Oryzias latipes: one gene and its partner. The main gene of each other region encodes a partner of the protein of the gene in region 2 in a complex. Links are inferred from orthologs where the notes say so. Each region holds a gene or a part of one and is shown on either strand. Other genes may lie near its edges.

Region 1 (12,727 bases), on a different chromosome or scaffold from region 2:
TATTGTGAAAAACATTACACTCGAAGAAAACAAGACTGGAAGCTTGGGCTGCAGGTCATTTGCTCCTGGATGGACTTACAAAGAGCAAGAAAGGTGTGCTTCGAGTTCATGAGCACCAGCACTCTCCTGAGCAGGTCTTTGTTCATGATGTAAGTCTTGATGTGGTAGGTGTGGTGTTCCACGCAAAAAGTGAGCAGCTCCAGGATCAGAGCCAACAGCTGAGCTGTCTGGAAGTTGTCTACAGAAACAAGAAAACGACTTATGTTTACTTACACAACAAACCAAGGCTTGAGGCAGTGCTTCACAATTAGTTTTTTGCAAGGAAGAAATAGGTAAAAAACATTATGCTGATTTTTTTCAAAATGATTATTTATGATATCATATAGTGCAGCTGTTTTCCTGCTGTCTTCATGTCAAATACTGACACCAACTAAACGACAGGCAGACAAAGAATACATTTATGGAAAATACAGAGACGTCATCAAAATGTCTACAATAGTTCTTAAAGAATGACATTATTAGCATGAGGTGAGTAATCTAAAGGCACGTGATGATCCTGGTGTTGCGCAATCTAGCGCTCCGCATGCGCTGTTCAACCTGCAGCCTGAGCGCACTACCCCTCCCCTTTCATTCTCACACACGCTGTCTGTGACAGCAGACAGGAGCAGCTGCAGGGACGGCAGTTCACAGGTTTCAGGCTGTTATAAACTCTGTCATATAACAGATAAGAGTAAATCAATAGTGGCGCAGATTTTATTCCAAGCACTGAGCCGCTGTCACTACAGCGCCCCGTTAAATTTGCGCCCCAGGCAATTGCCCGTATTACCTGTGCCTGAAACCGCTACCACTGCGCGGCCCCCCCTGGCATCGCCCCACTATTTGAGAAGCACTGGCTTAAGCGAACCTGTGTACTCTGAGTAGTAACGTTTCTAGAAACTGTGCTGTACACAGGCTGGAACATTTACTGCATTAACACCCACCTGGACAGACAGGGTTGATCTTTGTGGATCCGTCTTGCTGATCTGAAACATCAATATCTGCATAAATCAAACAAGACCTTTTCCCATACAGCAGAAGAAAAACAGCAAAGTCCCAAGTTTACCTTTCGTGGTCTTGTCATGTGCCGTGTTGGCCAGCAGAGGAGCAGTGAGCACATGCATGCAGTACTTGTAGAAGAAACTCAGAAACTCAGTCTTCTCTGTTTTCTATCAAAACATGAAAGGAGAAAAAGACATGAAAATTTAATCAAAACAACAATCAAGCTTTATTTTTTTCATCAAATGTATTTTTTTTTTTTACTTTAGGTCAACGATCAAGATTTCAGACCAACTATCAATAATCAGCTGGAGTTCACAACGAATCTATGAGGCTTTTAGGTTGAAAAGTAACAATTTGCTGTTAATTATTTAACATAAAAATGTTGAAATGAGCTACAAGCTCAAACCGACCAAACCAAAAGTGTTTTCAAGAATGAACATCAGAAAAAAATAATTACATTCATGTAAAATAGAGGAATCCTTTTTTCTGTGTAGTTGTGTGGAGCTTACATTGGTGGAAGCCAGCATGTTTTCAGGATCAATGAGAGTCCTGAGAAGGCCCATCAGCTGAACAGCTCCTCCTAACTCTGGGTCTGAGTCACAGATCATCTGCTTGATCACCACATTTATCAGCAGAACATCCTGACACACAAGCACAAAGGGAAAACAATGAGGAAAGAAAATCTGAAACGTATACTGTGATGTTTCTAAGAGTAAGTAAACAGAGTTTATAGTAATCAAAACGGCATATAGATGAACTTTCATAAGGATTATTGAAATGGGGTTTAAAAAAAAAGCAACAAACCCCTAATTGCTGATAACACTTCAGAAATATGGTTTCATATTATCCAACTTAAAACCCACTTGATTTATTTATTTTGTACAACAATATAAAAGTAAAAACAGCACAACACTTTCAAAAATCAGTACATTTATAAATCAATATCACTGTGGATACAGGTTAAACTCAAAGCAGAGCTTGCTTGTGACAGATGAATCCAAACTTACGTCATCCGTCTGCTGAGGCTCCTGCATGACAAACTCTCTGACCATGGAGGGGCTGAATTCCACCAGGTAAGAGAAGATGTCTGTAGCTGCTGCCCGTACTTGTAGGTCATTCATTCCCTGATAACAACAAATTGGAAAGTGATGATGCACGCATTCCTCTGAATCATCCAAAAGCCAGCATTTTAAACAAAAAACAGACATACCATTACTATTTCCAGAGCAGGTAAAATCCCCAAATTTGCCAAGGTTTTAAAAAAGGCATCCCTGTTTTGTGGTTGCAAAGTTTGGGAAAAAGCACAGAATTCCTTGACAAAGTTCACCTAAAAGTGAGAGGGAAAAAAGGACAAAAAGAAAAACGTAGTAAGTAAAAAAAACCAACATATTTAACCCTAATTTCCCTTGTTCTACAATGCTTTTTTCCAGCGGATGTCAATGATTACACCTGATCCAACAAAACAATTCAAATTCAACAAATGCTATACTATTGAATAAGGAAATGAACTAAGACAGTATTTACTCAAACTTCAAAATTAAAGACCAACCATTAATGCTTTCAAAAAAACAATAGTACAAATATTAAACATTTCCATTCGACTATAATGGAATGTAATCTTTGAAACCATGCCGTTTACAAATAGATTTTAAACAACAAATAAAGGGTTTAGTGAAGCATGTTGATGATTAACTTACCAACTCTCTCCTTTTACTGTCATCTGTGGCTTCATCTGTAAGCTGTGCAAAGACCTCTGTTAGGAACTTCTCATCCTCCTGTGGAAAACAGGGAAAACAGTTCAGGTATAAACAAACAGAATGACAGAAAAAAACAAAAACAAAGGAGAAGCTGGAAGGTTTAAATATTTAATTCTCTTTCACACTGTCGCCCACTGACTATGCCTTTTGTTTATTAAATAAAACTTTACAGAGAGTTGGCTCTATACACACAATTTCTAAAAAAATTGATACTAAAAAAAATGAGACGGTCATTTTTTCAATCCAAACACCATATGTTCTCATTAAAGTGTTCTAATGTATTTTTAACCAACTGCGGTTGTCTCTTTGCCAGGACTCCCTTGGTATTATGCCGGCTAAATCAAGTAAATAAATAAATAAAATGAAGTGTGAAAAAATTGAGCAATTTCAGATCAAAATTAAAAACCTGGAAGAGATCATGCAAGAGATTGGAAGAAACAGGAAATCAGTTGGAACTGATTACACCATGGAAACAATACAAACAGTGAAGAGTGCCGGAAGTTATTTTTAAAATATATATATAAAAGACAACTAAACTATTACTATCAGGTAACATTAAAAAAAAAGTTAAAAACAGAAGAAATCTGAGATATATGATGAAAATCTCAAATGATCATCTTAAACTTTTATGTGAAAATGTATTAAGACATTATTATGGAAACAATAGAGGGGGACACATTATGACAAAGCAGGTTGAAGCTTTGTAGAACAACTCATTCTCTTGGCACATTCTAAACGCTGTCATTTTTTTAAACAAATATCTTGACTTACAGTGAACTTTTCAAGAAAATAATGCAAAACACACTAGCACAAGTATTATCCTGTTCAGTTTCTCTCAATTATCTCCTATTTATGTAGAGAACACATTTTTAAAATCACAATTTCATTTTTTTGCCATAAATTTTTTTGTATTAGAAACTGGAGAGAGTACATTAACGTAGCGAACAACAGAAGATACAGACTGTCCAACAGTCAATGTGCAGAATGTTGATTACATCTTAAAAGAATCCCTTTTAATAGAAAACATTTTAATTTACATTGTTAAATACATTAAACTGAAACTTACACTCACTTTAGCCTGGTTTAGATCCTTACCTGCAACATACTGACAATCTCCACTTTGTTGAAGAAAATGAAGGACGTGAGGGTGGACAGGAAGTTCTCCTCAAACACTGAGGGTGTAGGCAGTATTATGTCCTGGATGTATTGAACTCTGTAGGTCTGGTGGATTTTCTGCCGCAGCTCAGAGTCCGTAATCGGGATCACTTCCTTAAATTTTGCGGTCTTGGTCAAGAACTCCCGATGTCTTTTAGGCTGAACCAATGCTGGGTCATACTCAAGGCAACCTACCACATCCATGATACAGTCATCCGAGAACATCACCTCAAAAAGGGCAGCTTTGTTGAGGAACAAGACTCCCCGCACAACCTCATAGAGGTGATGCAAGCCTTCTCTGTTGTCCAGGTCCTCGCATACTCTGAAGAGACCCAGCAGTTTCTTTATGTAGCCCTCACTCATTAGAGCCAGTGCAAGTTTTTCGCGCCGAATGGGTGAGGAGAGAACAGAGGTAACCAGGTCAGCGATTTCCTCAAGTCGACCTAGTTCACATGGCGGGAGCTCAACCAAGTGGCTTGTCTCTGGAATTTCCTCAAAGTGGTCCTCCTCTGATTCATCGATGGGATCCTGAGTGATGTCCAGAGCAGGGTCTTTGCCTTGTACCTGAGCAAAAATAATAAAATAAAAATCACATATTTAAAAAAAAAAATTTACAGTAAAGAATCATGAACTCCCTTACTTGGGATACTGGTAGTAAAAACTGCAAAACTCGCAGCATTCTTATACATTCTAAACGTATGTGATACTTGCAGGTATGAGCCACAGCTAAAAATAAACTTATTTTTTTTGCTAAAATACAATGTCAAACTTTAACGAGTTAAAAGACCAAAACCCTCAATCCCTTTATTTATAAAAAAATATATATGTTATTTAACATGTTTCAATCGTTATACAGTAACAGTTACAAAGTCCCACCTGACAGGAACGTTTTTCAAACATCAAAGAGAAGGGACACCAAGAAGGAGGGACATGCTGAACTGTCTTTATTTGTAATTACCTGACAGATCCTTTCCCAAATCTCATCACAGCCAGCCTTTTCCTGGAAGCTTAGAGCAAGATCGTAATTATCCGCTTCTGACCAAACAATCAGTGTGTCCTGAAAGAAAAGAATGAAACTTTTTCCTATTACCAAAAATACAAAAATAGCAACAACAACAATTGTCTTCAAACATATTTTACATTAAAACTTTAAATAAAGCTTAATTTAAACCCAGAATGTGTGCCTTAATCATTGTACTCATACAAAAATACAACCAACGACTTTGTTTTTAAATGACTGAACAGGTGTAGAAAAGTAAAAAAAGAAGATACTTCTGTGTACATAGTTGTAGATGTACCTCTTCTAAATGTTTTTAGGGGTAGAAAGATATATTTTTCTTATTGCTGCTCCCTTTCATTTCCCCTGCATAAGATGTCTAGTATTGTTTTAATGTATATGTTTTCTTGTGGTAATGAAATACCACAATTGTGTTATTCCTAAGGTTGAACAATTGTACTGATGATAAATATAACAGTATTTCACATTACAAAGTCTTCAAGTAAAAAAAGCTTAGTATACTAGCATAATTACACATCATCTATTCCCAACTTTCTTACAACAGAATAACCACAGAGGAGGAAAACTTTACTATTATGCAATAGCTTTTCAATTGTAAGACTCAATTAAACCAAGTATAAAACTCCTTAATTGTTGAAATATTAAATACTTACCTGTTGTTTCTGATATGCAGTATTCGGACTTATCTTTGATTCCAACAACAAAGATCCTAATAAAAAACAGAATTGCTTAATTTTCAGAGTGGTATGAAACTATTTACAAACCAATTAACTATTTGCCAACAATAGACGTATGAACCACAATGATGATTAGTTCAAAATAAGATCAGAATAACAGCTAAAATAAATACAGTAGTTTATGAACCAAATTAATACAGCCTGACGTAATAGTAGCAGAAATAGAGCAATATCCATGAATAGATTAAGTTTATTACAACGAGCAAGTGTAAACGTGTGCGCCGCGACTTTGAGGGGGGGCCCATGCTACTACGACCAACCAAACCAACTAGTCGTTGGAAATGAGGACTCTCCGGAAAAAGAAAAACAAACATTTGACTTCATGTTTTCAAAGTAAATATATACCAATTGGTCTAAAACAATTAATTTAGTGACACACAACGCTACACCAACTGCATAAATACATCCACCAAGTCAGAAATGCTATCAAACTAAGAGCTTTGCTATTTAAAATATAGCATGCTAGTTAGCTAATGCTAACAGAGAACTTACCGTCCGATTCGGCTCGAACTAGCAGTGATATTCCCCTCAGTCGTTCCACAAACGTAGATGAAACATGACCTGTACCCCGATCGTCCCACTGCCTGTCTTCATTTAGCGTGTATACCTTTACTCGCCGCCGAGTGTCCGACATGGCTAATCGAATCGGAGCTAGCAGGCTGCTAAGCTATCACCTCACCCCGTTTACTGCTTTCCTCGACCTGTTAACTTTGTTCCCACCTGCATGTTACAAAACATGCCAGTCTAGGTTGACGTTTACAGTAGTAGTCGAATATATCTCGCAAACATATCACGTTTGCGGTTATAAATCCAAATAGACAGTCTGATTTCAAACTGAGAAATTTAAAGAAACAACTCTGATGGCCTTCTTGCTAACGTCCACGGACCGCCATCTTGTAATCCGATCTTGTGCTCTTTTTCATCGCGGATGTCAATCATGCGCTAACTGCCGTGCGTGGGGCGGGGCTTATTCCTTCAGGCAACTGGGAATTCCGCAACTTAATGGCTGGGAAAGGAACTGCAGTACCTCATGCATTTTAAGTAAAAAAAATAATTTAGTTTTCGTCACATAAATATTTGAAACAATTACCAAATAATGCATAAAACAATACATTTCAATATTAGATTATAGAAAAAAAACGTTTTATTTATTTCCAAAATGATTAAGAAATGCCATGTATTTGTGTATTTACATAGACTATAAATAAAAAAAAACAAGTACATATGCTGTGAAGTTCTCCCACTTTGTTTTTGTTTCTATACCAGTATATTAGAGGACAATAGATATGAAATGTAAAAATCCTAAACAATAGCAAGTACTAGACTTTTGCAAACTTGTAATCATACCACCACATAAGGCACAAATATTTGTGGAAGTACAAGAAGCATTGTTGCTGATACATGACATAACAAGGACAAACCTAAAAAAAAACACAAAAAAAACAAAACACAATTCTGTTCTTGTCAGCCAGATGCCTCATTTGTCCAATAGTGCCATGTTTACGACATCTGTTGCATCTTTCTTGGGATTACTACTTCAAAAGTAATATTCCTTTCGAATTGTAGTTGGTGGATTAGTCAGGAAACTCTGCGCTGTGCCATTCTGTCACAAGTCGGATCTTTCGCTGATGTTTGAACCCATGGAAATGCTCTGTTTCTCACTTAGCGTCTTGACGACAGTGGCGGCAGGAGACTGCAACACCTTTCGTGAAAGCCTCATTCTGCCGTCTGTTGGATCTCGTCCAAAATACTTCACCTGTCAGGAGAACACTTGTTAGAAAAAAAGAAACCCCACAGTGGCAATAAAACAGGTCACTTTGAACAGCTGACACAAACCTGTATCTCCTGTCCTACATCCAAACCCAAAGCACTTGGATGCTTGATCTACAAGAGATACATTTTCGTCATTTTATTTGATTGATTATTTTCAATTTACTTGTGCATTGTTTTTATCTTCTTTTTTGTTTACATGATTGTACACCACTTCAGATCAGAACAGATCATTTAAGTGCTCTATAAAAGAAAATTGGATGGTGTGGTTTAACAAAAACAGATTAAAAAAGTCCACCAAAGTGCGTTTTACAAACCCGTTTGTGGTCCAGCTGGGAGTTGTGCAGCAAGACAGGCGTCATGTTTGGATATAGTTTAACCATCACACCAATGTCCCTAAAACAGAGAGGTATGTCCATCAGTGGCTGGATCAGGGCTCGCTTTCAGCCCTCAAAAGTAAATAAGGTTACCTTATTTCTGTGATGGTGGCAGTGTAGACGGCACCAAACTCCAACTGCTGCTCCTGCTGCAAATGGGAAGCAACATTAATGCTCGAGCTTTAGGTACATATAGGCAAGGTTCAGTGATAGTCTGGAATATCAAACTGATAATTAATGAATAAACCAGATGCATTCTGGATTTTGTTGTTGGCTCACATCGTCTTTGCAGATATCGCTAATGAACTCCTGGGCTTCATTCATAGCTCCAGGAGTTGGAGCAAACACAGAGAACGTTTCTTCATCCACCTGACTTATAGTGACACCTTTAGAGGAAACAAAAAGACTAAATTAAACACTTCTGCACATCCAAATGTAATCAGTGCTCGATTACCAGAATACCTGTCTGAGCTTGCAGTTTGCGTAGGTTATATCCTCCTGGGCCGACAAAGCGCGCTCTTCGAGATGCAGGCACCCGCACATTTTCTACCAGAACCCAGCGCTCATTAAACCACAACATTTCCAAAGAGATGTGTAGATCCCTTTACAATATTTACCAACGACTGGTCCGTTCTCTTTCCTGCTCTCTCTTGGTTTTGCAATGCATTTGTTCATGATTCCAAGGATTTCCCTTTTGGCCACTGAAAAACAAAAGGATTTTTTTTAAAAAGCTAACAAATACTAATACTGAAGTAATACTAGATTTCTGTACCCGTTGCTTGCTGGATTGCCTCCATAACCACCTTCAAAGGTAAACCTGGAATCTTCACATCAGCCTAAATGTCAAACAAAAGAAAAAAATAATCACTTTAGTACAAGAGAGGGAATCAAAAACTTTACACACTTTGCTTTATTTTACTGTTTTTTTTTTACATTTGATCCTCATGTGTGTTGAAAAGATGGTCAAAAAACCACATTGCCCCGAATACATGTTGTTTAAAGTTGCTAGGTTTTTCTGTTGAGTCATCAAACATAATACCTGTAAAGCAGTGATCCCCTTGCTTGTTCCTGCCATTTTAAAGTCCATGTCTCCAAGGTAATCCTCTATTCCCTGTTAAGAAAACAGCAATCCACTCACAAATGTTCAATGAAAAACGACAATAACCAAGTTATTTACAGAAACCAAACAGTCTGTCGTAGGTTAAACTGAGATGGTTTGTACCAGAATATCCGTCAGTATTCTGTAGTCCTCAATCTCAGCAGATTTCTGTGGGTTTGCTTTGGAAATAAGGCCGATGGCCACACCTGCCACAGCGGAAGAGATGGGAACACCTGGAAAAAACAACATTTATAACGTTCTTCTTTTAAAAAGAATTTTGTGCCAGAAAAATATTTCAATTGCAACAATCCACACTTGCATATAAATCTAAATTACATGTCGTACCTTTTATTGTGTTCATGTGTGTAAATGTGTGTTTACATGAGTCAATGGGACTGTGGCTGTAAAGAGGTTTGGGCCTTTAATAAAGAAAGTAAAGCGCTATAGGAGTACATACCATTTACATTGCAGAACAGGAAATAAAAATCATTTAACAGAACAAATTAATATTCTCAAGATTCATGTGTGCTTCAATACACCTGGTAAGAGAGTTTTAGCACATTCTTTTAGTCTGGCTTTGGTACCTGCATCCATAAGGGCAAGGCTTCCTCCACAGGCTGAGGCCATTGATGATGAACCTAAAAGGCAAACACAGTTATTAAACAATGGAAAACAGCCTTAAAAAGAACACTACAACAGGAGCAACAGAGCTTCCACACCTCCTTTTAACTTTTTATATTTCTGAAATAATGTCTTAAAAACTGACCATTTGACTCCAACACCTCAGATGTGACTCGGATAGTGAAAGGGAAGTCTTTGGGAATGACTGGTCTCAGCGCCTTCTCAGCCAGAGCTCCTACAAACACAAGCCACGCCCCCAGTGAGAGCTGCTAAAAAAGGAACCAAATACGAGACCGGAACATCCCAACCAACCGTGTCCAAGCTCTCTCCTGTTCAGGCCTCCCATTTTGCCGATCTCATTAGTTGCATACGGAGGAAACTGAACATAAAAAGAACACATTAAATTGACACCAAATTAAAGATTATAAATCCACGAATTATGTATTTGATTGAAAAAAAAATCAAAATCCACTTACTTCATAATGAAGCATGAAGTTTTTGTCTTTGACACCACTTCAGAAAGAAAAGAGTGGGCATTTTAGGGATGCAGATTTGTTCAAAATTTACTACAAAATAACCTCAACAAGGCATTCAGATATGATCAGGAACAGGATTATTCATTTTCTCTTTAATAATACAACTTCTGGGTGAAAATGGGAGTTACATATTATTAATAAGTTTTCAGACAAAATAATTGATTCAGTTTTCTAAATAAAGATTTTTTTTCTGTAACGGTTTATACTCTCGTACATGTGAATGTGGTAAAGGGAGATAATGCCAGCCCTATTCAAAAAACAATTCTAATGCTCTGATGAGTGTTTAGAGCCTCACAACATAAAGTCAAATTTGAAAAAATGTTTTCTTTTTATCCTTAAGTTCAGGTGTAACTGTTTCCTGGAAGTATGTATGATTAATAAACAGATATTGGATTAATTCGATGTAGAGAACAAAGATATATAATAATAATAATAATAAAAAAAAACAGAAGTATTTTGCTTTTTAACTTCTAAAAGATGAAAACTAACTTGTGTTGTCAGACAATCTTTAATGACCCATAACGCCATTTAGGATAGTAAATTATATAAAATATGATCATCATTAAACAGTGGAATACAAAAGTGAAAGTATTGCAAAGTAATTTTTTGCTCATACTAACTTTTACTAACTAATTTTTTACTCATACTAATTCAAATGTTGTTCAACTGTTACTTTCATCATAAATCATATTATCAGAATTAGATATTAAATATATTGGTTGACCTTTTTCACTCACAAAGTTATGCAAGTCTGTCTTGATCTTTAAATTGAACAATGAACACAAAGCTTAAAGTTTTAAAAGCATTTCAGTTTCTTCCACTCCTAATGTTTTCACCAATCCGTTCTACAGAAACAGATCATATTGCTTCTATCATTTTACGCTGCATTGTAGCCAGAAAAGTTAATCATTTAATTTATTATACAAAGCAACCACCTTACCTCAAAGCTGTTGTGATAATATCTGTTTTGATGCTGGACTCCAGGGAGTCAAAGGTGACGCTGCACAACACCTACAGGGAACAGAAGAACACCAGGCTCACATCTACCCTGCTAAAAATACTACAAGAACATTTTTACAGCAGGAAGTCGAATATTCATCCATACAACTTAAGCATTTATATGTTCTATCTCTTATATTCAAACCGTCTCCCCTTTTAACTTGGATTGGCTTAAAGCTCTTTACATACCTGTGTTTGTCCTCTCTGAAACAGAGCTGAGCCATGCAGAGGCCTAAACAGATCAACCTCACACGAGATGGTTCTTAAAGCGGTCAGTTCCCTCCCGTCACATCTTTAACACAAAGACGAAATCCACACACCTGTTTTAGTTTTTCCAGATCTGTGCACCATGACATTAACTTTGTAAAAGCAGAGCAGATCCCGCTCACCTCCTGTACTCATTCAGCACCAAATTACGGAAGATTTCTTTGCTCACGATGTTAAAAGATTCAATGACGTCAAAGGGCTCCGCCTGAGGAAACGCATCTACACACAGAAGGATAAAAATATTTTGACTAAACCTTTACAGCTACAAAATGCAAATTAAATGTCTGCATACCTTTGAGATCTTCTTCAGTTTCCAATCGTATTTTGTTTATGGCTTCATCTCTTGAAATCTGCGTTAAGGATGTTATTTATTCAGACAAAATGTAAGATTTTAACATAATGATTATTTCTAGAAGATATAACTTGAAAATTAGGATTTTTTTCGCTACCTTATCATGACTATAATCAGTGAAAACAGCATAGATCTTTTCAGAGGCTAACCTGGTGGGAAAAAAAAGACAAAAAAAATGAAGTGTTAAACTGGAAAATTCAAGATTCATTGTTCTTATTAGTATATATATTAATTTCTTTTACCATTTTTACTTATTGTTCTATTTTTATGCTTTTTATTGTTATTTATTTTCTGCATGTTTGCATTGGGGTCTGAGAAGACAGTCATTTCATCTGTGCCGCATTTTAAAATACATTGAACATTTGACAATAAATAGATCTGGAAAAAAACAATTTACTCTGACTTTTTTGTTCTATAGGACAAGCTCAAGCTTCATCGAGTTCTCATAAAACCCTTTTAATGAACTTTCCCTATAGGTTTTCTAGTTCAGTTCTGGAAAAGACTCATGGCTGAGTCCTACTTACTTCTGAACACGTTCCACCATCTCTGCTGGGGGGAAGAACATTTTGATGGGCGTGCGCTTGGTGACCTTCTGCTCTCTTGCCAGCTGCTGGATGGCGTGAATGATGAGCTGGGTGTGTTTGACTCCCACCTTCACCGCGTGGCAGAAGTCCTGCTGCAGCACGTTCTCAGCAGACGCCTCAATCATCACTGACAATCAGTCATATTTCAATCTTTAGCAACCAGCATGAGTAGAAACACAACACTGGTATAGAAAGCCAAATGTGTCTGTGCTCAAGTGTGTGTCAGAAATTTTGGACAAACCAAAAAGAATTCTTACTAAAGTTCCTAAATAAATTACCGGTATGACAAATTTTCCTCCGGGTTCAATAGCATTTTGGTTGTTCCTCTAAAGGTTTTTAAACTATTTATATCGAAGTTTCAAGGAATTTTTTTGATAGAAAACTCATAAATATGTAGAGCATCTACAGTTTGTAATA
Region 2 (12,093 bases):
TCTGCAGCAAACATTACAGCTAAACTACAGACCCTTTATCTAAGAGCTGGTTCTACATTTGAGCCATAGCCTGATATCGTTCTGCCCCCCCCCCAATCTAAAATCCTGATTCTGAAATGGCTAAGAACAGAATCAAGAGTTTCCATGGAGAAAAAAAAAAACGGGTAACAGCTTTTTGTTATACTTTATTCACCAGTGAGCATCCAGGGCTCGGGCACTGAGACGATGGACAGCTTCGAGTACCAGCCCCCCAGTGGACAGTGTGGGAGCTAGCAGGCTCCAATGCCAGGGTCAGAGCTAGTGTGCCTCACCGCCCAGGCTGTCAGGCCCTGGGCAGCCGAGCCCGCTATACTGGCAGACGGAGAGCCACCATGGGTGCTGTCATAGTGGGCACCATCACTCCAGCTCCATGGGCTTATGATGTTTATCTTATTTTCATTGAGAAAATAATAAAAAGATCCCCCAGTTTTCTTTTCTTTTCCCCTCTTTGGTAATACCCCCTGGGCCACAGACAGACGGACGTAACGTTTAAACGGCTGTAACCCAGGTGCAGCTTTCACTGCAGGAGTGAAGTACACTGGGAGAGACTAAATGATCTGGTGAACCCAGACACGGCGACAAGCTCTCCATAACATATAAACCCAAGCTACTCGCTTAACGTCATCCATGTTTCCAAGATGTGGAGATGAATAAAGTCCATAAAAACGTTGGTTGCTCTGTGACCGGGGCGTCAAGGTGTCAGACAGTAAATTTGATCAAAAGAGAGGCAGCAGACGTGGATTTGACCCGGTGTGAATGCAGCATTAGAAGTAGCGGTACCACAGGTCCTGCATTCCAACCGCTGTTAGACCGTACAACTCAACAGTCCAACTACAGATACATTAACCTTTTTTCTATGATAAACATTCAATGCACTTCTGCTTTGTCTTGTCTGAAGAACACCTAGGGCCTGAATGTTAGTTCTATCAAAGAAGACCCACAACAGAGCCTGTTTAGACACAGGGAACTCCTCCAAGTTCAGTCTCTGCCTGAGTGTCTTTCTTCCTCTTTAGACTGACATGTTCATCTGCATAACGACATAACGCCATCTCTGCTTCTAGCTGGTGGAAGAACACTGTTGAGTGGATTGAGCTAAGGACTAAAGCAGAACATTCTGGATTAAAATAGGGTATGCACTGTCCCAAATTAAGTTGATGTCCAACCACGACAGACAAGGTTTGTGTAAAAGAAACATCAGAACATCAAGGTCTAACCATCACAAGGATGCTCGTTCAACAGGAAATAAAACTCTTCTTTGGATTTGTGAAAGATACAGGATAAACAAAGCAGTTTCAGAATTGGTCTGGACTTACAGTTTTCTAGACCGACTGTCCTTCACCCCGCTGCTACGCTCCATTGTTTTACTGCTCTGCTCCAAAGTGCTACTTCTGTGCCCTCTGTGGTCCAAAGTACTGGTTCTGTGGTCTTTGGAATAAAAACCACTATTGCTGTGCTCCATCACACTTTTCATGGAGTCCACGCTGGTAGTTCTGTCCAAGATACTGGGTCTGTCCAGTACACTTGATAGGCTTGTGTCATTTCGTACCAGAATCGGCATAAAGGAGGTGGTCTGGGTTGTCATGGTGAAGTGACTTGTTCTCAGGGAGGCATCTGCAAAACACATGAAGTGATGTACTGTATATGTCAGAAAAACATGCAAGGTCCTGAGTGCACACTGTTACCTTTGCTAACCAACACAGAGGACTTCCCAAGTCGAAACGAACCACTTAGGTCTTTGACCTTCCTGAAAAAAAGGTTACATTATAAGAATATTTGTCAAAGATTTAAAGGCAGAAACAAAACCAATCTGTGGCGTGTCTCTACGTGAGTGCATCTTACAGTGGTCTGTCAGAATTCACAGGTTTGCTTGATGACGGCTGACTGCTGAGGGAACGACTGCGAGACAATTTTGGCTTCCTCCTCTCTTTACCTGGAAGACGGAAGGCCTCATCATCCAAATCATCAATCATCTTTATTTAGATTTTCAGCACCACCATTATTACCATCCATAGTCCAGTGAGACAAAGTTAGTTAGTTCAGCAGTGAGACAAAAGAAAGTCAACAAGCAATAAAATCAACCAGTTTACCTGTTAGGATGAAACAAAAGTACAGTGATCCCTTGATTATCGCGGGGGTTACGTTCCAAATAGAACCCGTGATAAGCAAAACCCGTGAAGTAGAAACCTTTATTTTTTTACAATTATTATACAATGAAATTCACTATTATACATTGAAAAGAAAGAACAAACCATTTAACAGGCTAAATCAATTGTTTTTTTAACAATTTAACTTTAGAAACGTTTTTCAACAAATAACTTCTGTAGTGTGCTGTCAAATAATAATTTCAATCATCGATAAGAACAGAAGGCTTTAAATTGCAGAGATTAGCCCCGCCCACCGCGACCCGAGAGTAATTGGATTAAACGGGAGAAAATTTAAAATGATTATGAAAAAAATAAAAAAGTACAGTGGGACAGATAGTGACTCCGGTCTACTTTTTCACTGCTCTTCATACTGAGCCGCTGCATCCTCTGCAGCGTTTTTTCCTTCTGAAGCCCGCGGTGCAGCTGCAGGTGTGTTTGTTCGGGAGAGGAACATAGTGATAGGCAGTTGTTGTCGCTCTTTTTTCTTCTTTGCTAAAGACCCTCTTACACCGACATGCCCCCATCGATTATGTTGGAGAACTGTAATGAACGGCTCATCAAAGGGTCCCATTCTTGAGCTACTCGCTGAGTGACTTTTTAGCCAATCAGAATGCAGAACACAATGCACAATCCAAATCCGTGAAGTAGCAAAACCGTGAAAAGTAAACCGTGATATAGCAAGGGATCACTGTATTAGTAACTTTAACAATGAGAGACAAGGAAAGTGACTAACACAAAACTCCTGGATCTATCTTCAAGACATTCTTGACAGATCTTCATCTGCTGGGAGAACCAACCTTTCCTGGTTTAATAGGTAAATATATCTGAGTATCAGCAGCAAAGAAAATGTATGCTGTGCTACTGAATAATGTTACCCAAGGGAGCATGTTGAACTAATTAGGAGTGAACCAAGCACAGAGCCTTGTGGTGCACCATGACTGATTGCTGGGTGAGAAAGACTCATCGGTTACACAATTACCCTGCAATCTATCAGATAAAAGGTTTGACATAAAAAAGGACATAATAGAACAGCTTAAAGCTGTTCCTGTGATACCAATGATATATTCCAGTCTCTGCAAAAAAATGTTCTGATTAATGATGTCAAATGCAGCACTGAGGTCTAAAAGAACAAGAACAGGTCCAGTGTCTACACCATGAGGAGATCATTGTTCCCTCTAGCAGAACCATTTCTATGCTGTGATGAGCTCCAAATCCTCACTCAAAAATCCTCCTTAATCCTAAAAAATAATTTTGATCAGGTGCTTAAGGAGTTGATCTGCAACAGTTTTTTTTCAAGCACCTTAGATGATTTTTCAAATAATGAGATATTTTCTGATTTTTAGCTAACGCTGTAATTACTGTAACCTTTATATCCACAGGAACATACTCTATTTTTAAGACACATTATTCAGATCAATTTTCTAGAAACATGGATTACAGGAAAATTCTCAGTTGACAATAAGAGGAAATCAGATCCAAGAAAGGAAAGGAAGATTTGCAGCTGTATGTTACTTGTGCTAGTGTAGAGGGCTCAAGAGGACAAAGGTGTATTTAAGAAATAATGGTTATTGCTATCATCTTTATCATCAACTTACCAGAGGGTGGTGCTGCTACTGGGGAGGAGATGGACACAGACTTAGTGAAAGTCAGGCTGGTCTTGCTGTCTCTTCCTGTTGGAGGAAAAGGTTAACCAAAGCTTTGGTCCAAAAATCTTTTGAGAGGATGAAGGTTCAGCTCACGCTTTCTCTCTGTGTGCCTGTCAGAGGTCACTTTACCATCGCTGTCCTGTTCCAACTGTTCCTGACAACACATAACACAACAAACAGCAGTATGACATTAAAACCAGTTGGACCAAGTTGGCCAGTTCCAAGCTGGAGTCACGTTCTGGCTTTTGACTCACCATTTCCAGCTGGACAGTCTCTTCTTTCTTTTTCTTCAGGTCCAGCAGGTCCCTCTCCTGCCTCTTGTGAAACTGCACATACCCAGAAGATGGAGTTTGGAACAAATGTTTGCCTAATGCATTTGCAGAACACATGCTTTGCAGCTTACAGGTTCTGACAGGTCCAGTTTGTTCAGTTCCAGCACAGTCTGAAAATGATATTAGATATAGTTACACACAGAATCTTGAACACCATCACAGCCCATCCTCAATCCGGACAGTTCTTTGGTGAGGTTTACCTTCGGGATTGTGGCCACCACATCTTTGTCTTTTTCCCTGCATAAAAGTTTCTGAACACAAAAGTCCAATTTCTGCAGCAGAAGTTTGTCTGCTGGCAGGCAGAGACATAAGCGCAACCTGGGCAGCAGCTGGCAGAGCTTGTATCTAAGAAACAGGTGAGCAGGACAAGCTATTGAGTGGGATGTGGTGACCTTAATATTTGTCAAATTTCAGCTTGTGGCTTAGTAGAAATGCATTGAAGTACCTCACATTGGCAATGGGGTCATGGGCAAGCTCCAGCGCTGGAATCAGGAAATATTTACTGAAGTATTTTTTTGAGAAAATCTCTGTGGCAATTTCACAGACGTCAAGGAACCTAAGACGGTTCCAATAGCTTCGACCCAAAGCCAAATCTACAATCAGAGAAAGTCCTCTTTGTCTTGTCCTGACACATTTGTTTTCATCTTCACTAAAGCTGGAAAAAGCAGAAGATACTCTGACCTTGGATCAAACGTTCCATCATCTCCTGACGTTGTTCCTGCTTGCGGTTGTAACGCATGATTGTGCAAAGAGTTCGTGCAGCCTCCTTCTGCACTGGAAGGACTTTCTGCAGCCATGGAAAGCAGAGCAGAGTTAGTTACCCCCTTCAGCTGTAGCTACTGTAGAGCATGGATTACGGGGCTGCTAACGTTGGTGATGAGGAGGCTGAAGATGCGGTGGGAAAAGCTCTGATGCAGCAGCTCCCCAGAAAGCAGCCTTGCCAAGCAGCTGTATTGCTGGAGCAACTTCTCATGAAGCCGCCAACGCAGGGAACTTCCAACTTTTTTTTCAGCTAACAGCAGCACCGACAGCAGCTCTGGCAGCTGAGTCCCGCAAGAGAACAGAGAGAGGGAAGTAGACATCAGGTTCAGGCAGCCATGATCTGATCAGAAAGGGACTGAGCTTCTTTGTGTCACCACATCTTTACCATTGGGGAGTCTTCTCCCAACAGAAGCAGCTCAAGAGTTTCCTCAAGGTGGTTCATCAGAGCGTCCAGCACCTAAACAGCAAAGCAGGCATGTAAAGAACAGCTTCAGGTATGTCTTTTCACAGATCCTGTTTCACGAATCTGCAGGTTCTCCTACATACATTTAGACATGCTACATGGAACACATTAAAAACCTCTCAGAGCTCCCTTTCTTCAGAACCCAGTTTCACACGTACAGTACGTGCAAGAAGCTTTTCGAAAGGTTTAATGACAAGATTGTAGCAGATTCCAAAACACAGATAACAGCTCTAGCAGAGACAATGAGAACGGTAACACTAGAAACCTGTTACACTCTAACAAGTCATCTCCTTGTGTGTCATCCACACGCTGCCTCCATTCTGTCCACACTACATCAGTCAAATCTGACTGTTCAAGCCAAGGAGGAAAACTGTTCATCTGAGCTCAGTATGTGACGGCTGAGGGACACTCTTCAAGTCTTGTTTCATAATGATTTTATCAATAATAATGAAATATCTTTGAAACAAGACTGGAACGAATAACTTTACTTTGGTAGGGTAAAGAGCAAATCAGCAGTCCAAGATGCTGCCCCAGAACAGACTTTCTGTTACACACCGGCAAAAACAGGTCCGTTTCTGAGTTTCCTTCCGTATTTTATTCAGTTCTAGAAAATGAGAAAATTCAAGCTTCCTTTACTCCATTTCTTGAAGTACGGTGGATTTCTGTCCTCCAGAGGGCGCAGCACTACATCAAATGAAAAGCCTGCAGCTCCTGCTGTGCGTGAGCGTCTCACCTCCAGGGAGTCGTCCTGCAGCAGCAGCAGAAACTCTTTGTGCACCAGGTGGCTGTTTGGGCTGATCAGCTTCAGCACCTGACAGGAAGAGGTGTAACCATCATGTAAACCAGATCAGAATGGCAGGAGTGACAAAGACAGGTTGCCTGGGGCAAATAGGTTGCAGCATTTTGTTCTCATTCCATCTTCACATATTTCTAATTTTCATAGATTATTTCTTTCACCAAACATTTACCATCCTGCCTTTGTTTGTGTTTTGCTTTAAACTGTCATTGTATAACTAAACTTACAGGTCTTAAAAGAAAACAATTTTAGATGTAATGCATTGCTTTAGTGTGTTGTGCAACAAGTGAAATATTTCGTTTTGGAACCTTGGTAGAAAAGCTGGACCAAAAGACTTGAGGAAACTGTAGAACTGGCAAAACCGCCTTTGGCTGCCAGTTGTTCCCTAAAAGAGATTCACCAAGATTTTCCCCCCGGCACCCATTTCCTGGGAAAATCTGACTGTTCAGAAAGCACTTGGAACCAGATAATTGAAACCCAGCATGCCATGCTAGTGGTCAGACCAGTTCATTTCAAGTTCCTGAATACATGTTACAGGAAAAAAGTACTTCAGTTACCTGTTCCTATCAGCTGGAGATTGATATTTCAGAAATTTGGTTGGAGAAATGTTACCACATTTGTCCTTAATAATAACTTTTGTTGCTTTGGATTACGGCTTCAGTTGAATATGTAGCCCTGATCAAGACGTTTCAGATAAACACAGGCCTGTATCCAATCTCACCTTCTCTCATAGCACAGAAAAGGTTCTGCTGAAGGGAACAAAGATCTCCTCATGGCTGCAGACATTGAACTTGTGTCTGTTCTTGATCTTTTAGACCTCAGTGCTGCATTTGACACTATTGATTAGAAACTTTTATTAGAGGGTGGAACATGTCTTTGGCACTGCAGGAACAGCTTTAAGCTACTTGAAGTCCTTTTATTTGATAGATTGTTGTGCGTTCATGTAAATGATGTGTCTTCTTTACAAAGCTCAGTCACAGTGTACCACAAGGCTCTGTGCTGGATTCATTCCTCATTAGCTCAAATTTGCTTCCATTAAGCCTTAATCACAGCTGCCCTCACAGGTGGATGTGGGCTGCCTACTGGAAGAAATGGGCAAACGTGTACGGGGCACACAGGCGGCCTGCACACAATGTCACAGTTGTAAAACGCTCACTGAAAATGTTCATGTACATTTTTTCTATGGACATGCTGTCATGGTGAACACTACAGCACACGAGTAAGGGTGGATCAGGTAAGATGGAGCCGCGTTTAACATGTTTTTCTTTAAGACATAAAACACAACCGGACAGCCCACAGGAAGGCTCCCCAGACCCCAAACCCCCAGAGGGACCGTCCACAGGAAACCACAGGGACACGGTCAAATGCCTTCTCCAAATCCACAAAACACATATGGACTGGACGAGCGAACTTCCACCAACCAAATAGAGAGACTGACTCACATTTCAACGACCAGGACTTAAACCGCAGTGTTGTTCCTAAATCTGAGGGGCAACTATTGGCCGATCTCTCCTCTTCAACATTCTGAAATAGACTTTTCTGAGGAGGCTGGAGAGTGTGCTTTCCCAATAGCTCTACTGTATTTTGGGTGAAGGTACGATTCCATCACAACAGAAAGTTGCACAAACATATGTGGCTGTTGTAGGTGATCAAGGAGGGTCAGATTCCTTGAAAATGCTTTATTGGCAAAAAGTTTGCTCTGGAAATGAAACATTGTGCTTCATAGATGAAATACGCTAACCGGTCCTGTGTTAAACATTTACCCGACCCTCCTGTTCTCAGGTCCAGTGTAATCTGGGTAAAACGATGACCTAAGTGACTTGCTGTCCTGTGTAAATATGCATAAAAATGTATCTTTTCAATAGACAGAATGAGATCAAAGGTGGGTTTCAGGGCTCAAGGAAGCATGGGAATATTATGAAAATTAGAGGTTGAACTAAATATGTTTATTTGAGATGCTTCAATTTGATCTACAATAATGTTTACTGTAACAATAAGGACAATAAGCATTCAGGATGAGCCAAGTTTGTACTTGTAAGGGAAGAAGGTCCCTGTGTAGATGTGTAAATCAACACTAACTGCATTCAAAAGGTTACATATATTAGTTAATCATGAGTTTCATTTGTTTTTTGTTAAATGAAGCCATTTTTGGAAATGAAAAGTTTCATGTCTGCCTCATTCACAATCAGCCCACTTTGTTCTGGGAGAGGTAAACCCTGCACGAACGCTTCCTACATACCTCCTGACTGTTGGGGTGAGGGGTTATGGTCTGACCTGATGAAAACTGGCAGCGGCGCTTCGCCTGACGCTGACCTCAGGGTCAGTGCAGAGACTAGAGAAGGAGGAGTAGAGCTTGGAAAGGAAGTGAGCAGAGTCCGCAAACGCCACCATGGCCTATATAAAAAGAAGACACAAAATAAGACTCTGCTGTGCTTTAGGGCCTGAAGGTGAAAAGAAGCTGCTTCCAAATGACAAAAGTTAGGAGTTGTCTCTTTCTATTTAGAAGTCTAAAAGTATATTTTTGTATCTTATAGGATTTTTAAGAATAAGGCAACCTGCTTAACTATTGGAACACTTTGATGTTTTCTGACAAAACAGTCTGCCATTTAGTTGACCAAAGAAAAGAACAATAAACAGATAGGAGGGTAGAAGGATTGATGTGTGGATGGATTGTCTTTAGGTTGGTGTTGCTTCATGTCATGTTAGAATTTCAGGTCTGTCAGAGTCACCCCAAGGTCAGGTTTTTGATTACCCACAGCTGTCTTCATTTAATCAAAATTTGATCTATTAGAAAAGCATTTGCAGTGGTCTTTTAATTACTTTTTTAGCCCAAATCAACAGACCTGTGTCTTTTTCTAGGACATCAGGAGTTTATCAGAAATTCAACTCTGGTGGGACCATTGGTGGGAAGTAAGCCTATCTTCATTTCCCATTGTAAAGGAGGTATTGGTGATTTCATCTCAACCTTGTGACCTCAAGGATTGTACACTTTGAAAAATGATAAGACGTCAATCCGATCCACCCACACGCCACTTACTTATCAAAGGAATTGTTCATGTGCTTCATATAATTCATGGTTTCTATTAAACAAAGCCAAACAAGACAAGAGATTAGAATAATAACAAAACAGAATCAATGTTGTTAAATATAAACATACATGTAAAATATGAAAGACAGCTGTTCTTTCATTTAAATGTCAAAATTAAAAGATCCCCAACACCATCATGTGTCCCGGAGAACGTGACAATGCATCTTTGTCAGGGCCGTGCATCCCCAAACCACAAGGATTTGATCAAATAAACATGGACCTGAACATAAGTGTAATCATATCAAACCCACTTCCTCTCAGTTTTAAACATTTCCGGAAGACATTAATTTAAGTAAACTCAAGAATGTGAACAAAATAGAGTACACATCCCTAAAACAGCTGAATAAACATCCTAAAAGAGACAACACTGACATCTTTATACATGGACGCATGCAGACTAACAAAGAAAATAGGGAAGAACATTGAATCCACAAGAGCAATGATGCGAGGGTCCCGGCAGAGAGCTGCCTGTTATCTCAGATAAGCAGGGGGAGACATGGATGATGTGGCGTTAAAGGTGCTCAGGAACAATCAAACTAAAACTACAACTTAAACGGATACAGAGCAAATGCACGCATGAACCTTGTGATCACTTATCATTTCTTTGTCTACACTCCCTCCCACTGGCTTACAGCCCCTCATAACCCCAACCTAACATTAGTGGTGAAACAAAAATGGTGGGCAATATCGGATAATGCTCGCCATTTTTGGACAATTGGACAATATTTCAAAATAATTTAAAGACAAATAGAGCGCTCTCTGCTCTCCCTGGCCTCCTTCCAAAGAAGCTGCTGATTAGTTTATTTATTTATTTTTTTTACTTGTCCTGTCCAACAGCTGGTCAGGCAGATGAGAACTGAGGGCCTCTTGTGTTGGACATATTTTACTTTAACAACAGGGGTTATTAATCTTCAGACAAACCAGAGGTATGTCTGAATAAACCCCTTTTGTAATCAAGGCCAGACTTTATTAATTTCAGTCATGTTTGAAAATCTTTGGTGTTGGACCGGACGGAAAAGGAAAGAAGGGAAAAAGAGAGAGGGATGTTAGAGAGAGGGGGGGGGGGGTTAGGAGGGTGATAATAGGTGGGGGGGGAGGATAAGACCATGAAGCAGCATAAAGCAACAGGTTTACTGGTTGTTTATCATTACGGTAAGGTACAAATCTCAAAGGGCGGGGCCTGTCCACACACACACTCAAATGTTATCAACACACCTGCTAGCTGCAAAAATGTCCACTTGTCAACATGTACACAAAACAGATAGTGTTCACACACGCATACCCATGCCTTTAAACCAACTAGTGTGAAATATTTCATTCATTCAATCACGCAAACTATTACTGCAAATGTGAGCTAACACCTGTGCTCAGGTGAGTGTTCATGTTCTTCTAAAATGGATGATGGAATGTGAAAAGAAGGAGGGAGAGTGCCCAGCCACCCTCACACCAAGACCCCCGCCGCAGCGGCAGCTGTAACCCCCCAACGCCACACGGCAGCAGGCAGAGAACAACCGCCCCCCGGCAATCACATCCGCCACCCAGGCAAGGGCCAGCAATACCGCCACGAGGCCCCCAGAGCCAGAGAGCAGGGAGGCATGGGGGGAAAGAGAGCGCCGCCCCAGCCCAACCAGGAGAGCAGCCCCCCCGCCGCACCGGGAGGGCCCAACGCTGGGCCCCACCCGAGAAGGGCGCCCACAGCCCCAGACGAGCACCCCATCACCACCCAAGAGTTCTGGGCATCCCCCTGCCCCAACCCCAGGTACGAGCCAGGACCCCCCAAGGGAGACCCGCTCCACACTCCAGGCAGCCACCCACCCGGCCCACGGTTGGTCCAGGAAGGAGCAAAGCAGGGGCCAGCAGCCCCCGCCCAGGAGGGGAGCACCCCGCGGAAAAGGGGGGCCCACGAGGGGTGTTGTAAACATGGCTCGACAGTTGGAAATTTGGCGGGGCCCAGCGCTCAGGGGCAAGGACCAGAACCCACCCCACAGGTGTAATGTGAACCCTCTTCCCGCGCGGAGAGAGCACCGCCGGGCCCAGGAAACCGGCACCCAGGGGCCACGGCCACCGTTGCCAAGGGCCCAGTACCCCCCACCAGGGAAGGGCTAGGCGACAAATGGTCCTATGTCCCACCTTCCTTGCAATATGTGTGTGCATGTGTGTGTGTTTGTGAGGGTGTGTGTGTGCATGTGTGTGTGTGTTTATGTTTGAATGTATATTTTGAGGAGTAAAGGGTGTGTGCACTAAGGGGGTGCAGTTAAAATTGGCGGGTAGGGTGCTAGGAGGACATCTGCTGCTTGCTGGCAGTGATGTCCAAGCACCCCCCCTACCAAGGGCCCTACATGTCTAAGGTGCAAATAAAACCGAGAGAGGGGGGGCCCACTCCATACGGCAACCTTGGGAGGGGGACCACTGCCAAGTAGCTCCCCCCCATGGTGCATTGCAGGCTAAACCCCCCACCCCCTCACCCTAATATGAGATTATATGAGGAAGGGGGTAAGTTGGGGACAGCTGGTAGACTGTCCCCCGGTGGTCAAACAGCCCCCCCCCCCAGCCCCCCCCAGCATAGGGGCCAGGTCCCCTCAGCCCAGGGGTCCCATCCCCGGAGGCGCCGAAACCCCAGGCCCAGCACCACCCACCCCACACAGAGAGAGAGGAGCCAGAAAGCGCCGCCCCCCCGGCGGTTGAGGCAAGTCCAGGCCCCCACCCCCAAGTGCTGGCCCTGGGGGCAGCCAACCGGCCGGGGCAACCGCCGATGCCTCAGCGGAGACCCCGACCCGTCAACCCCCCAAGGTCCCGTACCAATAGTGCCCCCCCCCCAGAAAG

The links.
Region 1: ppp4r4 (region 2) and ppp4r3b share a complex: the UniProt entries of both Homo sapiens proteins name them as parts of the PP4 complex. The link is inferred for Oryzias latipes from reciprocal best matches to the Homo sapiens genes PPP4R4 and PPP4R3B.

What each region holds. Positions count from the first base shown.
Region 1 is NC_019873.2:15,884,837-15,897,563, reverse strand, and holds the start of ppp4r3b (serine/threonine-protein phosphatase 4 regulatory subunit 3B), read right to left. Parts: upstream 6,640-12,727; 5' UTR 6,340-6,639; coding exon 6,198-6,339; intron 5,678-6,197; coding exon 5,622-5,677; intron 5,008-5,621; coding exon 4,909-5,007; intron 4,515-4,908; coding exon 3,891-4,514; intron 2,814-3,890; coding exon 2,736-2,813; intron 2,366-2,735; coding exon 2,249-2,365; intron 2,163-2,248; coding exon 2,046-2,162; intron 1,680-2,045; coding exon 1,548-1,679; intron 1,206-1,547; coding exon 1,103-1,205; intron 1,038-1,102; coding exon 981-1,037; intron 239-980; coding exon 80-238; intron 1-79. Other genes in the region: pnpt1 (polyribonucleotide nucleotidyltransferase 1, mitochondrial), read right to left, coding at 7,312-7,461, 7,542-7,589, 7,793-7,871, 7,946-8,001, 8,132-8,238, 8,315-8,398, 8,470-8,553, 8,625-8,688 and 12 more. UniProt on the Homo sapiens protein: Regulatory subunit of serine/threonine-protein phosphatase 4 (PP4). May regulate the activity of PPP4C at centrosomal microtubule organizing centers.
Region 2 is NC_019882.2:23,160,580-23,172,672, forward strand, and holds part of ppp4r4 (serine/threonine-protein phosphatase 4 regulatory subunit 4), read right to left. Parts: intron 8,577-12,093; coding exon 8,457-8,576; intron 6,198-8,456; coding exon 6,120-6,197; intron 5,381-6,119; coding exon 5,309-5,380; intron 5,205-5,308; coding exon 5,031-5,204; intron 4,949-5,030; coding exon 4,843-4,948; intron 4,755-4,842; coding exon 4,607-4,754; intron 4,507-4,606; coding exon 4,362-4,506; intron 4,272-4,361; coding exon 4,233-4,271; intron 4,156-4,232; coding exon 4,084-4,155; intron 3,984-4,083; coding exon 3,923-3,983; intron 3,854-3,922; coding exon 3,779-3,853; intron 1,970-3,778; coding exon 1,879-1,969; intron 1,784-1,878; coding exon 1,722-1,783; intron 1,651-1,721; coding exon 1,353-1,650; intron 1-1,352. UniProt on the Homo sapiens protein: Putative regulatory subunit of serine/threonine-protein phosphatase 4.